3 linked regions of the Kluyveromyces lactis genome follow. The protein of the gene in region 3 interacts with the protein of the main gene of each other region in a pairwise test. Links are inferred from orthologs where the notes say so. Each region holds a gene or a part of one and is shown on either strand. Other genes may lie near its edges. The genes, in order: KLLA0_D13838g, YAK1 and HRT1.

Region 1 (4,575 bases), on a different chromosome or scaffold from region 3:
GCTGCGAAATCTGGGAAATTATTTGAAAAAGATCCTACGTGTTATTTAAGGTTTATTTTTAAGTGAGTTACATTTATAATGGAAGATTGAAGTTTACATATTACAATTACCAGCAATCGAGTCTCTTCAATTGATTATAGGGTTCATAAAGTACAAGGGAAATGAAATTTTTAAAGGTTGCTCTAATTTTCTCGGCGCTAAGTGGTGTTTATGCCGACTTAGAACATAATCTCAGAATACATAATGATATTCCTGTGGAATACGATAGCGATGCTGCTTCTGCTGATATCGGCTCAGAGGACGAGCCACACCAACAAGAACCTAAAATTGCTAACTTTTTGATTGAATACGATGTGTTAGAAGAGGATGGCAGAATATCATCCGGTCTGATCGAGGTAGAAAATGGTAAGTCGCTTTCCTTCTCTTACAATTTTACAAATAGCGAGGATGCAGACGTGAATGTGTATGCATTTGGAGGAAGCATCATTGATATGGGAAGTAGCCAAATTATTGCTGATATTCCAAGAACTGATTTCAGCCCAGTTCATGTGGCAATAAACGAGAGTGCTCGTTTACTGCAGAAATTACCAATTGATTTACCGGAAGGCATTCTGTACGTCTTACCTCACATCTACGTTGACAAAGACGGCGAACAAATGAAAGTGGGTGCATCTCCTATTTCTATTCAGGTTGTTCCTCCTCCATTGTCAATATTCAACCCCCAGTTTTTGTCTATCCAACTGTTCTTGCTAGGGCTTGTTGCCGCGATTTCCTACTATGTCTTTGGCTTCAGCTTCAAGACTACGAAACAACCCGTCAAAAAACAAAACAGAGCTAGTAATTCAAATGAATGGTTACCGGAAACTCATATCAAATGATTGATTGTAGTAAAGGACTTTATTTTTATATATCATGGTCGAATGTAAATATCGTAACTGATCAAATGTCAAACCCGAGTTCAATTAATAGACTTTCAAGCAAATCTATATCCTTTTTATATTCTAAAAGGCCAGACTTCTTCAAGAAATCTATATCGTCTTCAGTGTCCAATAACTCCAAAATGTCCGCTTGTAAATCATACTTTTCCAATAAGTAGAATCTGATATCATCTACTAATTCAACAGTATCTGTATCTTGACGACTTTTGATCCTTTTTGAACTTTGAATAATGGCGTCCGATAAAAGTGAATCATTTATATAGTTTTCGATGTCGTAAGCAATTACTTTTGCAGCATGGTGCTCTAACCGTTCCACAGAGCAGCTCCAGGCTACATCGAGGACGTCGAAGATTGAATATTTTGTTAAAAATTCCTTACTCTGGGTTATGGTCACCGCTGCCATCGTTTTCAATCTATCCGTTAAAATGAAATCGCTGGTTCGTAATACATCAATGGCAATCTCCCAGGGTATATCTGTTGAATCATAATATAAATAGGAAAGAACAACTTCGGCCACAGATAAATTAACCACCGATAACGAAACAATTGGAACCTCTGAAGTGGCTTCTTGGAAAGATGAGGAAAACATCAATTTGAAGAAATTGGATCTCACCAAGATAGATTTATGACACATATAAAAATAATCTTGTCCCTCACTTGTGGTAACTTTTAAGACCAAGTCACCAAATGGTGGTAGATCTCTCAGGGTTTTTAAATGTCTATCCTTAACCTCTCCACTAGTAAGTAGTATCCCATTGTTAAATATGTTTTCATTGACATAAGCTTCTAATTGGTCTCGGGCATCAGTGTTGAATTTATACTGGTACTCATTCATCAAGCTTGCCCTCTCTGATGGGTCAGATACGTGCATGGTTTTATCAAGGTACGATAGGAGATCCGGAAATCCCGACTTCATAGATAGGAGGTGGATATGTTTTAATTGGTCTTGCTTTAATTCATGTAAGACAGGTACTAAATAAATGAACTTCAATATTGAACGGAACGCCTCTATATCTGATCCGGTAGGCATTCTCTTGGATTTCAATGTTGCCCATGGACCACTGAATTTCTGCCTGAAATAACTTGATCGTGCCGCCAGTATAAACTTATGAGCAGGAATTTGCAGATCGTCATCAAAAGTGAACTGGAAGTCAAAATTATTAACAATATCATCATTCATTAACGATGAAAGGTGCGAGGCAAACGGTTGCTTGACATCAACTGCCTTAGATATATCGTATTTTAGTAAAATGTTACGAATGGAATCAGTCAAGGCACCATAAATGCATCTAGCACCTTCGTATCTATCTCTATCGCAAACAGAACCTCTTCGTAGTAACAAATTTACAACATCTTCATGACCACATAAGCTGGCTAAAAATAATGGCGAATTGTCAAACTCATCTACACCGTTGACATTAACTCCAGTAGAAATTAATCGATCTGCATTCTCAACATCGCCTATCCTACAAGCAAAACACAACTCCAAGAAATTCTTATTCTGATTTAGCAGTGGATTTTTAGCACTAGTATCAACCATTACCAACCCCAAACGGACCCTTTCACCAAGCAACTTTTTATGTTAAAAACTGAATTGATTCCTGAATCAAATGGTCCCTAAATTGCGAGCCCAAATGTCTATCGGACTTTCTGAAAGATCGACATTTTCTTAGTAATTATGGAGCTTTTTTCATCTTTTAATTGATGGCAAGTCAATCGATTTTAAAGGATTAAAAATAAACATTTCAGCCAAGATAAAAACATAAAAAGGTATAAGAATGTCTACCGAAATATTAAGGATAATTGGAAGTAAAGAGTACTGCATAGAACCCAGGAACTTATCAGTAGATGGCTAATAAAAGAAGATAGATATGAAAGTATATCTACGGAAAAGTCCTAGAGCTATTGCTCTAGTTTCGAATGGATATGTGCTTATTTTTGAGAAAAGACAAAATAGTACGTCATCATTCCTGAAGGGCGGTTCACCTAAGGTCACAGTGCAATCAGTGTTAGAAAGCGCTTTTGATACGGAGCCATACACACAATTGAACCACACAACATTTACTGCATTGTTCGGATTGATCACTGTTAAGGGTCAAGTGTTTATTGGGATTATCACAAGTAACAAAAAGGTCGGATCTCCCAGATGGAAACTAAATGAGCAGGATAAGGTAATAGAGGAGGAAACCATCTATCAAATATTGAACATTAATTTCTATTGCATAGACAGTGATAAATACGACTCAATGTTTCAAGATCTCTCTGATATAGGCTATGAAAGACAGTTGACTGAACATCCATGTGGGCATCTAAAAATGCTTATCAGTGATGGGTCATTTTATTATTCCAATGATTTTGATATCACTAACAGTTTACAAGAGAGAGGATTGGTGCATAGAATTGAGTATACCATAGATAACCAGGATCAGCGTTATGTCTGGAATTATAACCAAATTTCCGAAATCGTACAGCTGCGATCTAGAATCGCAGTTCAAGAGCGACCGTATTTTGATTCAGGATCCTTTCTGGTATTCCTAGTAAGAGGATTTTGTCAAACGATAACTGATGGTATATCATCATCCTGCACTCTAATATCGAGAATATCAACGGAAGGTATGAATAATCTATCAGAATTCAAGGGAATTGATCAGAGCGGAAAGGTTTCTAATTTTGTCGAAACGGAAATCATAGTTCAAACGAGACGAAACGTCTTTTCTTATACAATGACTGGTGGTGATATACCATTGAATTGGGAACTAGTAGAAGGTCAATTCCTCCATGGTAAAAAACCGAAGTTGTTATCAAAGGCAAGCACTGTACAACCTTCTTTTGACCTCCATTTTGACGAATTAATGTCGAAGTACGGTGTTGTCAGCATAGTCAATGTTTCGAAACCAAAGAACGATGCTTACGAAGCAATGATAAACACTTACCAAAAATGCGCTTCATCAAAGGGTATTGATTTAACTTTGATAGAAGACTCTACCAGTGCGTTGAACAGAATTCCGCACAGGATAATATATCTTTTACAACAAAAGATATACGAGTTCGGATCGTTTGCATACGATATGGATAAGAAAATTTACGTCGGTAAACAGACTGGTGTCTTCAGGATTAGTGCCGTGAATCTTTTCAAGAAGCTAAATATTGTGGAGAAAGTTATCAGCGCCGACGTATTGGAATTGACCATCAATGAATTGGAAGAGAAAGACATTTCTTCAGACTTTTGGAAATCGCATGACTCTTTATGGAAAAGCAACGATTTCTGGTTAGAGAGGCTTAATAGCAAGCACTCCAAGAATCCTTCTAAATATAAGAAGATTTACCGCGGTCTTTTTGATCCAAGTGCAATCGTTGCGTTATATGATCCATTGCATATATATGTGACCAGATTTCTAAGACAAAGAAGACACGAATATACGTTCGAAAAGGAAATATCCATCTTTGCGGGAACATTTAATGTGAATGGGAAACTTTCGAAAGAGAAACTCGAGGGATGGTTAAAACCTGAAAACGAGTCCCCTGATCTATATGTCATTGGTTTGGAAGAGATAGTCGAGTTATCACCTGGCCACATGCTCGCCACAGACCCTTACATCAAGACTTTCTGGGAAAAGAAACTTCTGAGTGAGATCAA
Region 2 (5,168 bases), on a different chromosome or scaffold from region 3:
ATAACTGGTCTTCAGGTCTGTAATGATTGTATGCTTGATCTCTGCATTTAAGATTCATTATCAGAATTAGAGAATCTACATCACTCGTGGGAGAAAGAAGGTGAAAGATAGGGCTATCTACTTTTTTTTTTTGGCAGCTAATATCAAGGACATAGAGCGATATTGGAGCTTAAACTGAATTCTCGGATCAAGGCAAATATAATCTAGAATAATACAAATATGTCTGCTGATCATTCGAGGGATCCTTGTCCTATTGTGATTCTTAACGATTTCGGTGGTGCCTTTGCTATGGGTGTCATTGGTGGTTGTGTTTGGCATGGTATCAAGGGTTTCCGTAACTCTCCACTAGGTGAAAGAAGAGCTGGTGCTGTCAGTGCAATTAAGGCCAGAGCACCAGTTGTCGGTGGTAACTTCGGTGTATGGGGTGGTTTGTTTTCTACTTTTGACTGTGGTGTTAAGGCCGTGAGGAAAAGAGAAGATCCATGGAATGCTATTATTGCCGGTTTCTTCACCGGTGGTGCTTTGGCTATCAGAGGAGGTTGGAAGCATACCAGAAACTCAGCTATCACTTGTGCATGTTTACTTGGTGTCATTGAAGGTGTTGGTTTGATGTTCCAAAGATACGCTGCTTGGCAAGCAAAGCCAATGGCCCCACCTTTGCCAGATCAACCAATGCAAGCTTGAAGATCGGAAGAATAATCAGACTTCCCATTTTCTAAACTTGTTTCGTGCGGTTGCTGCGCTGTACCATACGCTTCTCTTCTTCTTGTTTCTCTATCCATTGCATCAGAGTAACTTAATGACTATATATCTCTTAACGAAAGGAATATTAAACCCATGTACATAAATATCATATATATTTCTGAAAATATCACATTTAATATTGAGAGATGGACTGAACTGCGGTGTGAATGGAATTAAGAACCTATTTTATTCGGTTAATTAGATCGGTATTATACAAAATATCAAGTCAAAATGCTACATATGTGTTTGCTTACATTAGTCGCCAAGTTGTAACTTGTCCAACGCTACAGAGTCGAATTGTAATGAAGGATTACGAGCTGTTTGTGATTTCTTTGGAATGGTACCCGGTGGGTACCACTCCCCTGTGAAAGGTTCTTCTGTGATGAAGGGATGCAAAATGGCCTGTTGTGGGGTCCAACGTTCGAGTGGATTGAGGTTCAACACTCCTCTCAAAAAATGTAACAAGCAGTCCCTGTTCTTTATTTCTCTTTCAACAAGTGCTGGATTCCCAGAAATCCTTTTCGAAATTCTTGCGTTACGAATTATATCATCGAACAATATATGTTTCACGTATCTCTTCACTGACTCTTCGTTAGCAGCAAACTCCAAGTTAAACTCATCAATGGTTTTCATTCTAAATTTTTTCTCAACAGTGGTATTCATCTTATGGAAATATTTCTTAGAGTTTTTACCCATATCACACATCCATGCAGGTGGCATCCCCAAAGATTCCACGATTCTTGTAACTTGATCAAACTCAGAATTACCGGGAAAGATAGGTATACCAAGAAACAATTCTGCAACGATACAACCAAAGGACCACATATCTATCCCGGTAGAATAAGGAATCCCCAAAAGAACTTCTGGAGCTCTATAGAATCTTGATTGAATGTATGTGTAAATGGTACGTGTTTCCTCACATGCAGATCCAAAATCAATGACTTTTAAATCAGGTCGATCGTTGCTTACCAACAATATATTCTCCGGTTTCAAATCACAATGGATCAACTTACTGTCCTTCAAGACACATAGTGAATCCAATAATTGCTTTGAAAATGTTTTAATAAGTGTCATGCTCAACCCATGGAATTCATTCAACTTCAACAATTCATATAAATTGTTACTCAACAATTCGAAAACAAGACACAAATGATGCTTATGCACAAACGTGTCATGCAACCTTAAGAAGTGATGTTCATTATTAGGATCAATTTGTCTGTTCAATAATTCCAAAACTTTAGCCTCAGTGACTGACTGATTCAAATATTCTGATTTAGATTTCACAACTTTCACTGCTAGAATCTCTTTTGTTATTAAGTTTTGACATTTCACAACTTGACCAAAAGTTCCTTGACCCAAAAGGTCCAAGACCAAATATTTTCTGTTGTGTTCAACCCCCAACACATCATTAACGTAAAGGATGTAGTCACTGTTGACATTATCATGTCCATTGTTATATTTCCCCTCATTTGGTTTTGTTAGCACTCTTTTCGGGTTCTTTGATGTCTGATATGCAAAATCGTCATTACACAATGAATAAGTGGTAGTTAACGACTTAGTTAGAGCCATCAACGGCGAGACCGTCTTGCTGCTTAATGAAGCACGTCTATATTTCGGTGTGGAATGTATAACGGGATTCAAGTCCTGTCTCGTAAATATCTTGTTGAATTTAGGGACAATAATTATTGGAGAAGGTGGCCTTGACGACGGAAGTGAACTTGAGCCGCCACGCGTGCTCATGTATGCACCTGCAGTAGCGGGATACACAGAAGAATTTATGGAGCCAGCCATATATCCCGCAGTATTAATTCCAGGTTTCCTAAGCTGAGATGGTTTCGTTACCTGCTGTGGCGAAAGTTGACTGCCACCAGTGACAGCAACCGACTGCCTTCTTTGTGCATCATTATAGTTGGGAAACGGTTGCTTCTCATAAAGGAACGGATCAGGCCCTGCCGCACGCGCAGGTGGTATTACTAAAGATGAGTTTCTCCTTCTGAACTGTTGTGAGGATTCATCTACAGCGTTATCTTCTTCGTAAGTAGTGGGCAAGGGGAAGTTGGATTGCTTCCTCATAGTAGACCTCTGAGACTCAGGTATCTGGGGAATCTCTTGCCATGGGTTTTTGAATATCGATTGACGTGGCGACTGCATTTGGAAACCACCAGCCGCATTTCCGCCTTGTTGCTGCCCTGCATATATATTCCCGCCTGCATTGGAGCTACTCCCAGCTGGCCCATCAGGCGCAATCTCTGGGCCCTGATTCTGGGTATTTGCCTGCGTCTGAGAAAAGTTCTGGTTCTGATTCGAACTCGACGCTCCCTGCTGAGAAGCCATGAACGCAGGGTTCCAAAGGCTATTCTTATCCCCCATTTATTATATATCAGATTATAGTCAACGTCTAACCACGTTATTGCAGCAAAATATTAGAAAAGCCTCTCTTCCAACAAAGAAATGACCAATTCACAACTCAAAGTTTCAACGGAAATACCTTTTAAACGTTATATCGACTGAATAACCCTGAGTTTCGCTTAAAGAACTTATAGCAAAACAGTAACAGAAACAAAACCAGCTAAAGAATGTACGCCTTCCTATATTAAAAAACAGCTAAATTCGAATCTGGCTATACCTAATCACGATGAGTACCAAGTACATACAGCGCTGCCCTAAAAATAAGCCCTGGTGTCCTGTACAAACAAACAGCTTTGCCAAGATTCACTTTAATACCTTAAATACAGAGAACATTCATGTCATGAAGTCATAGGGCCAATATTCTGATGTTGAGTTTTCGCATAATTACCGTTAGGAAAAAAAATGGAAATTCAATTACGATTAAAACGAGAGGTAAACTAACTTTGTCACTCGAAACATCAACTGGAGTTACATTTATCTAAGTTGTACCGTTGTCAAAGTGGCTGATTACTGGAATAGCACTTTTTGTGATTACACTCGTCTACTTTTTTGGACCGCTCTTATAGATAACAGCTCGAATTTACCATGAATACATCTACATCCACTGTTCAAACCAAGAGACGTGGGTTGAAGAAGTTTGTTGAAGAAGAGAATGCTGCCACTTTACACTTGGGAGAAGAGTTTAATTTGAAGCAAATCAACCATCAGGGGCAGGAGGAAAACCTAGTGGCTTTAAATTTGAGTGAGTCTCGTTTGATTATAAAGGAAACGCTACAGAACCGTCGGAAATTATTCAAGACATGGGCAAGCAATGGTGCATCAAATAAGGACGATGACATGGATGATGAAGATAACGTCAATGTGCATACCCAAACACAGGAGAAAGAGTTACAGGATATAGATAGATTGCTTGAACAGACCACTGGTGGACAGAATCAAGCGTTGAAGCAGACCATGATATACCTAACGAATTTTTCACGTTTCCGTGATCAGGAAACAGTAACCGCTGTATCACAGCTTTTATCATCCACAGGGTTGCATCCATTCGAAGTGGCGCAATTGGGTTCTCTATCGTGCGAAGATGCAGATGAAGCCAAGACTCTAATTCCAAGTTTAGGAACCAAGATATCTGACGAAGATCTAGAAAGAATCCTAAAGGAATTATCGAATTTGGAAACTTTATACTAAAACCTATGTACTATATCTTATATATATCCCCGGTTTCACCTCTGCTCCATCATCTAATAAATAGTTTGCCGGCACCGTTTTTCCACCATCTCATCAAGCAACTGTTTGGGTGGATGGGAATATTAGATTCGCCGTTAGGATCACACATACAACGGAGCACTAATCGTGCTGATATGGACGTGGGACATGTTTCAAATGGAACATGGCTGTATCCAATTTCATCAAAGTGGTGGATTTCATTCTTGTCTAGAAGTAATGAGGCACCTATACTGTGCACGGGTGCATCACCCCAACGTTCATAATAAAACCCACCCTTGGAGTCCAAGTAATTGAAATACTGAAGATACTCGTCACTTCTAAAGAAATTTAGATCTCCAATTTCGAAATTGGACCAGAAATGACATAGATTATAGTCTGTATTCGAATCAACAACAGGGAAAAAACGTCCCACCATCGTGGTATCCGTCAAAAAGCTTAGACTGTTGTTAGGATGTAGAATTTCTGGATAAGTATCCATGAATTCCTCAACAGCATCCCATAATGTCGTTACCGTATCCTCATATTCAAAGATAGATATCACAAATCCGTATTTCTTCTTCTTCTCCCGCATGACTTTGAATGGATCATATGGGAAATCGCAGAAGTATTCCACATCAGGTTCGACTCTAAAATAGTAATCATATTGGTCCAAAAGCTTTTGTCTGAAAAAGAACCCACTATTGAAACGACACATATTACGATACGATTTCGAGTCTCCGTATATTACCTTCTTTTCCTTTAGCATCTGCAGCCTTTCCTCGAATAATTCTTCATCTATCCAAGCTGGG
Region 3 (3,286 bases):
AAAACTCCACCAACGGTCAAGTTGTTTTCACGTACGATCTTTTCAGAGATTTTATGCAAGCAGATTTAAGTCCAAGTGTTGAGGTTGTTGGTGAACAATACGTCGACATTGCCCATTGCTTGATTTCACCAGTACCGCTCTCAGAAGAACAATTAAGAAAGGTTGATGTTATATATTCACATCCACAAGTTTGGGGCCAAGTAAAAGACTATCTCAGTGATCTTGAAACAAAATACGGTAAGACCGCCAAGATCGACTGCAGTTCGACTGCGGGGGCTGTGGAAAGATGCATAGCTGAATATGCCACTGATAGAAAAATAACTCTAGCAATTGGAAGCCGTGCGAGTGCATCACTAAATAAAGCTACGATTGTGGAAGGCGGTATCAATGATGTCAATGGAAATACGACAAGGTTCTTGATCTTGAAAAGGCGTGACGAATCTAGCGAAATTGGCAGCCAAGCTCTCCCACCTAAAGGCGATGAAATGAAAGTAAACTTTGTCACCTTCGTGATAAATCAAGATGATCCAGGTTCCTTAATAGATGTATTAAATGTCTTGAGGGAGTATAAGTTGAATATGTGCTCAATCAGTTCGAGACCATTCCATAATCAAGTGCAATCAGAAAGAAAATGGCAATATTGCTTCTTTATTGAGTTTTATGGCAATTACGGTACTGATTACGAACTTCTGGCGAAAAGGTTTGACGAAAACTGCGCAAAATGGATTCACTGGGGTAAATTCTACCGAAACGCACTGTATTACCAAATCCCATGATATATGCATTATGTTTAGAAACAAAATGCAAATACTGATCTTAAAAACGAAGCAATCGAAGAGGAATGTACGCATCCTAGTTGTATTCATGGAACAACGCTGTCCTGTCTATTGTTTTGGGACCGATCGAACCTGTCGATAATTCCATTAGAAGCTCGTTACGTAACTATATATACACAGAAGCCAGATTATCTAAGCTTCTTCCCAATGGTAGATATTAAATCCACACTATCCGCTTGGTATTAAATCATTGGAAATCTAAATTGAGTAACATTTTTTGCGGTTCGAACAGTCCAATAGCGATATTAAATTTCGATAATGCATCTTTGTAGGCTTAACACTCTATCTTCACTTGCCACACCGAGCCAATTTCCAAGGTTTATTATCCAACGGACAAACATTTCTGCTCTTGATCCATTGGGTAATACAATGTAGGTGGAATGCGTGGTTGCACTCACCCCAGGCGGCTACACATTCATGCTCCGAGTTGAAAGTTGCTTCCTGCTGACAATTTACACATGGTTCCATAATATGATTTCTGCAAATGGCACAATTATCAACGTCAATATCCCATGACCAAAAAGCTACCGCTGTCCATTTCGTTATCTCAAAATTGGGCTTTGACTCAGTAGCACCCTCTGTCCCGCTCTGTGCCTCTATTGGTCCCAAATCCGTGGCCATCTCCTAACGATCAGCTACTATTGGTAAATATAAATCCTTCCTTCTTTAAAACAGATTACAAACAGACGTTCTAAGTCCCAGGTCTAACTGTCGTTCAATCCTTGGAAACGCGGGTGTGAAAACCTTTTTTTAAACTATTAATGATCGAATAGAGTAGTCTTATGAATGACAAAAGATATACCCTGTGGACTATAATGGGATCTATGGACTTTCGTAACTGCCCAAACGTTCAGAAACATTAGAATTCATGTTGAAAGAGAGACAAGAGTGATATTCATATCACGTGAATACAAACATTTGTTACCCGGATGTGAAATTGTACATGAAATGGAAATCCAACTTATAGTAACCAGCACAAACAGAAACAAGTGATAAATCAGTGAACACAGGAAAGCGTGTTGGCGATATCAGACCTGTGTTAGACCTCCGTGGCCATAATCTGTCCAGATTCAAGATAAACTGGAACCTCGACCGTCCTTTAAAGTATTGAAATCCCTCTCAATAAAAGATTTTTTTGAAAGTGATTGTGAAAGTGAGAGACAATACTGCCAGTCAGAAGCTAAAATATAAAGGACCATGAGTGACAAGAACGAAGTATCATCATTGTATCCTCCACCACCACCGTTCATTCAATTTTTCACCGAAGAGAACTCAAAACTATTTAGAGAATGTGGCAAAGATGAAGAAAAACTAGCGAAATGTACAACAAAACAGAGGGAGCAGTTGAAATATTTTGTGAAGCCAGAACTACCCAGGGATGGTTCATACAGAGCATTTGGTAATGTATGGAAAATTAAGGATGAACTACCGGAGTTATCACAGATGGGAATTGAACAATTATATAGGAAACGGGAATCTGTCACGGAATTGGAAAACGGGACCACAACAGAAGTTGAACCTAGTCCTCAAGATTCGCAAAGTGGGACAAATTACGAGAACAAGATCCAAGAGTCGAAAAAACTAATGAAATCACTATTACTAAATTTCCTAGAGCTTATAGGAATATTGGGAGTGGATTCAAGTAGATATGAGAAAAAACTTGACGAGATAAGGGTGATAGCCATCAATATTCACCATCTTCTTAACGAATATAGACCGCACCAAAGTCGTGAATCGCTAATCATGTTATTTGAAGAACAATTGGAACATAAACGCAAGGAAATGGAACACATCAATAAAGTCTGTGATGAAGTGGAATCCAAGCTGGCTCAACTGTGATATATATCCCAGCATACCAGTTGTTAAGGCGATCTCTAAAAACGAAGACTTTGGTATCAAGATGTTTAATTAAACTTTCATAAGTTCGGCTGCTTGAGAGATTTAATTCGAAATTTAGCCGCCGAATAAGGTATACAGAATAAGAAAATCAGCAAACTTTCTCCCAATGCAAGCAAAGGGGGAAGACAAATTTAATAGCAAGATGTCGGACGAAGCTAATGCTCATTATTTCTAAAAGTCCTAATACCAACTCTCTGACGCTGATTATGTAACGAAGACCTAGTAAGTTTAAAATACAAGTCACGTGCTCTACATGACTCGCGAAGTCCTTTTTCTTTTGTCTTCCCAGAATGGGGTAGAATTGCCGATTTCTCTTCGATTTCAGGTATGGCGGATCGGAGAAACTAATTCCACAGGAAGAAATCCTACAATTCCCTTACACCACACTACGCATTATAAAAAAGACCCAAAAAAAGAATTAGCGATCGGAATAACTCGTGCAGAGAGTGTAGGGCCTAAACGGGCAAAGAGGAGAACAAATGACCAGGCATGAAAAAGAGACCAAAGAGAGACAGAAGAGGGGAACGGCGGGCAGAGGGCAAATAGAAAAA

What was found.
Region 1: the proteins of HRT1 (region 3) and KLLA0_D13838g interact in binary tests that used the Saccharomyces cerevisiae proteins (3 or more experiments, as listed by UniProt). The link is inferred for Kluyveromyces lactis from reciprocal best matches to the Saccharomyces cerevisiae genes HRT1 and YIL001W.
Region 2: the proteins of HRT1 (region 3) and YAK1 interact in binary tests that used the Saccharomyces cerevisiae proteins (3 or more experiments, as listed by UniProt). The link is inferred for Kluyveromyces lactis from reciprocal best matches to the Saccharomyces cerevisiae genes HRT1 and YAK1.

The regions. Positions count from the first base shown.
Region 1 is NC_006040.1:1,188,118-1,192,692, forward strand, and holds KLLA0_D13838g (uncharacterized protein), read right to left. Parts: upstream 2,479-4,575; coding exon 940-2,478; downstream 1-939. Other genes in the region: IRC22 (Irc22p), read left to right, coding at 162-878; phosphoinositide 5-phosphatase INP51, read left to right, coding at 2,810-4,575.
Region 2 is NC_006037.1:539,491-544,658, reverse strand, and holds YAK1 (serine/threonine protein kinase YAK1), read right to left. Parts: upstream 3,115-5,168; coding exon 1,000-3,114; downstream 1-999. Other genes in the region: protein transporter TIM17, read left to right, coding at 220-684; DNA-directed RNA polymerase II subunit RPB4, read left to right, coding at 3,739-4,341; KLLA0_A05775g (glycosyltransferase family 15 protein), read right to left, coding at 4,391-5,168. UniProt on the Saccharomyces cerevisiae protein: Negative regulator of the cell cycle acting downstream of the cAMP-dependent protein kinase. Part of a glucose-sensing system involved in growth control in response to glucose availability. Phosphorylates POP2.
Region 3 is NC_006041.1:649,645-652,930, reverse strand, and holds HRT1 (SCF ubiquitin ligase complex subunit HRT1), read right to left. Parts: upstream 1,458-3,286; coding exon 1,125-1,457; downstream 1-1,124. Other genes in the region: prephenate dehydratase PHA2, read left to right, coding at 1-776; mediator complex subunit MED7, read left to right, coding at 2,034-2,675. UniProt on the Saccharomyces cerevisiae protein: Core component of multiple cullin-RING-based E3 ubiquitin-protein ligase complexes (CRLs), which mediate the ubiquitination of target proteins.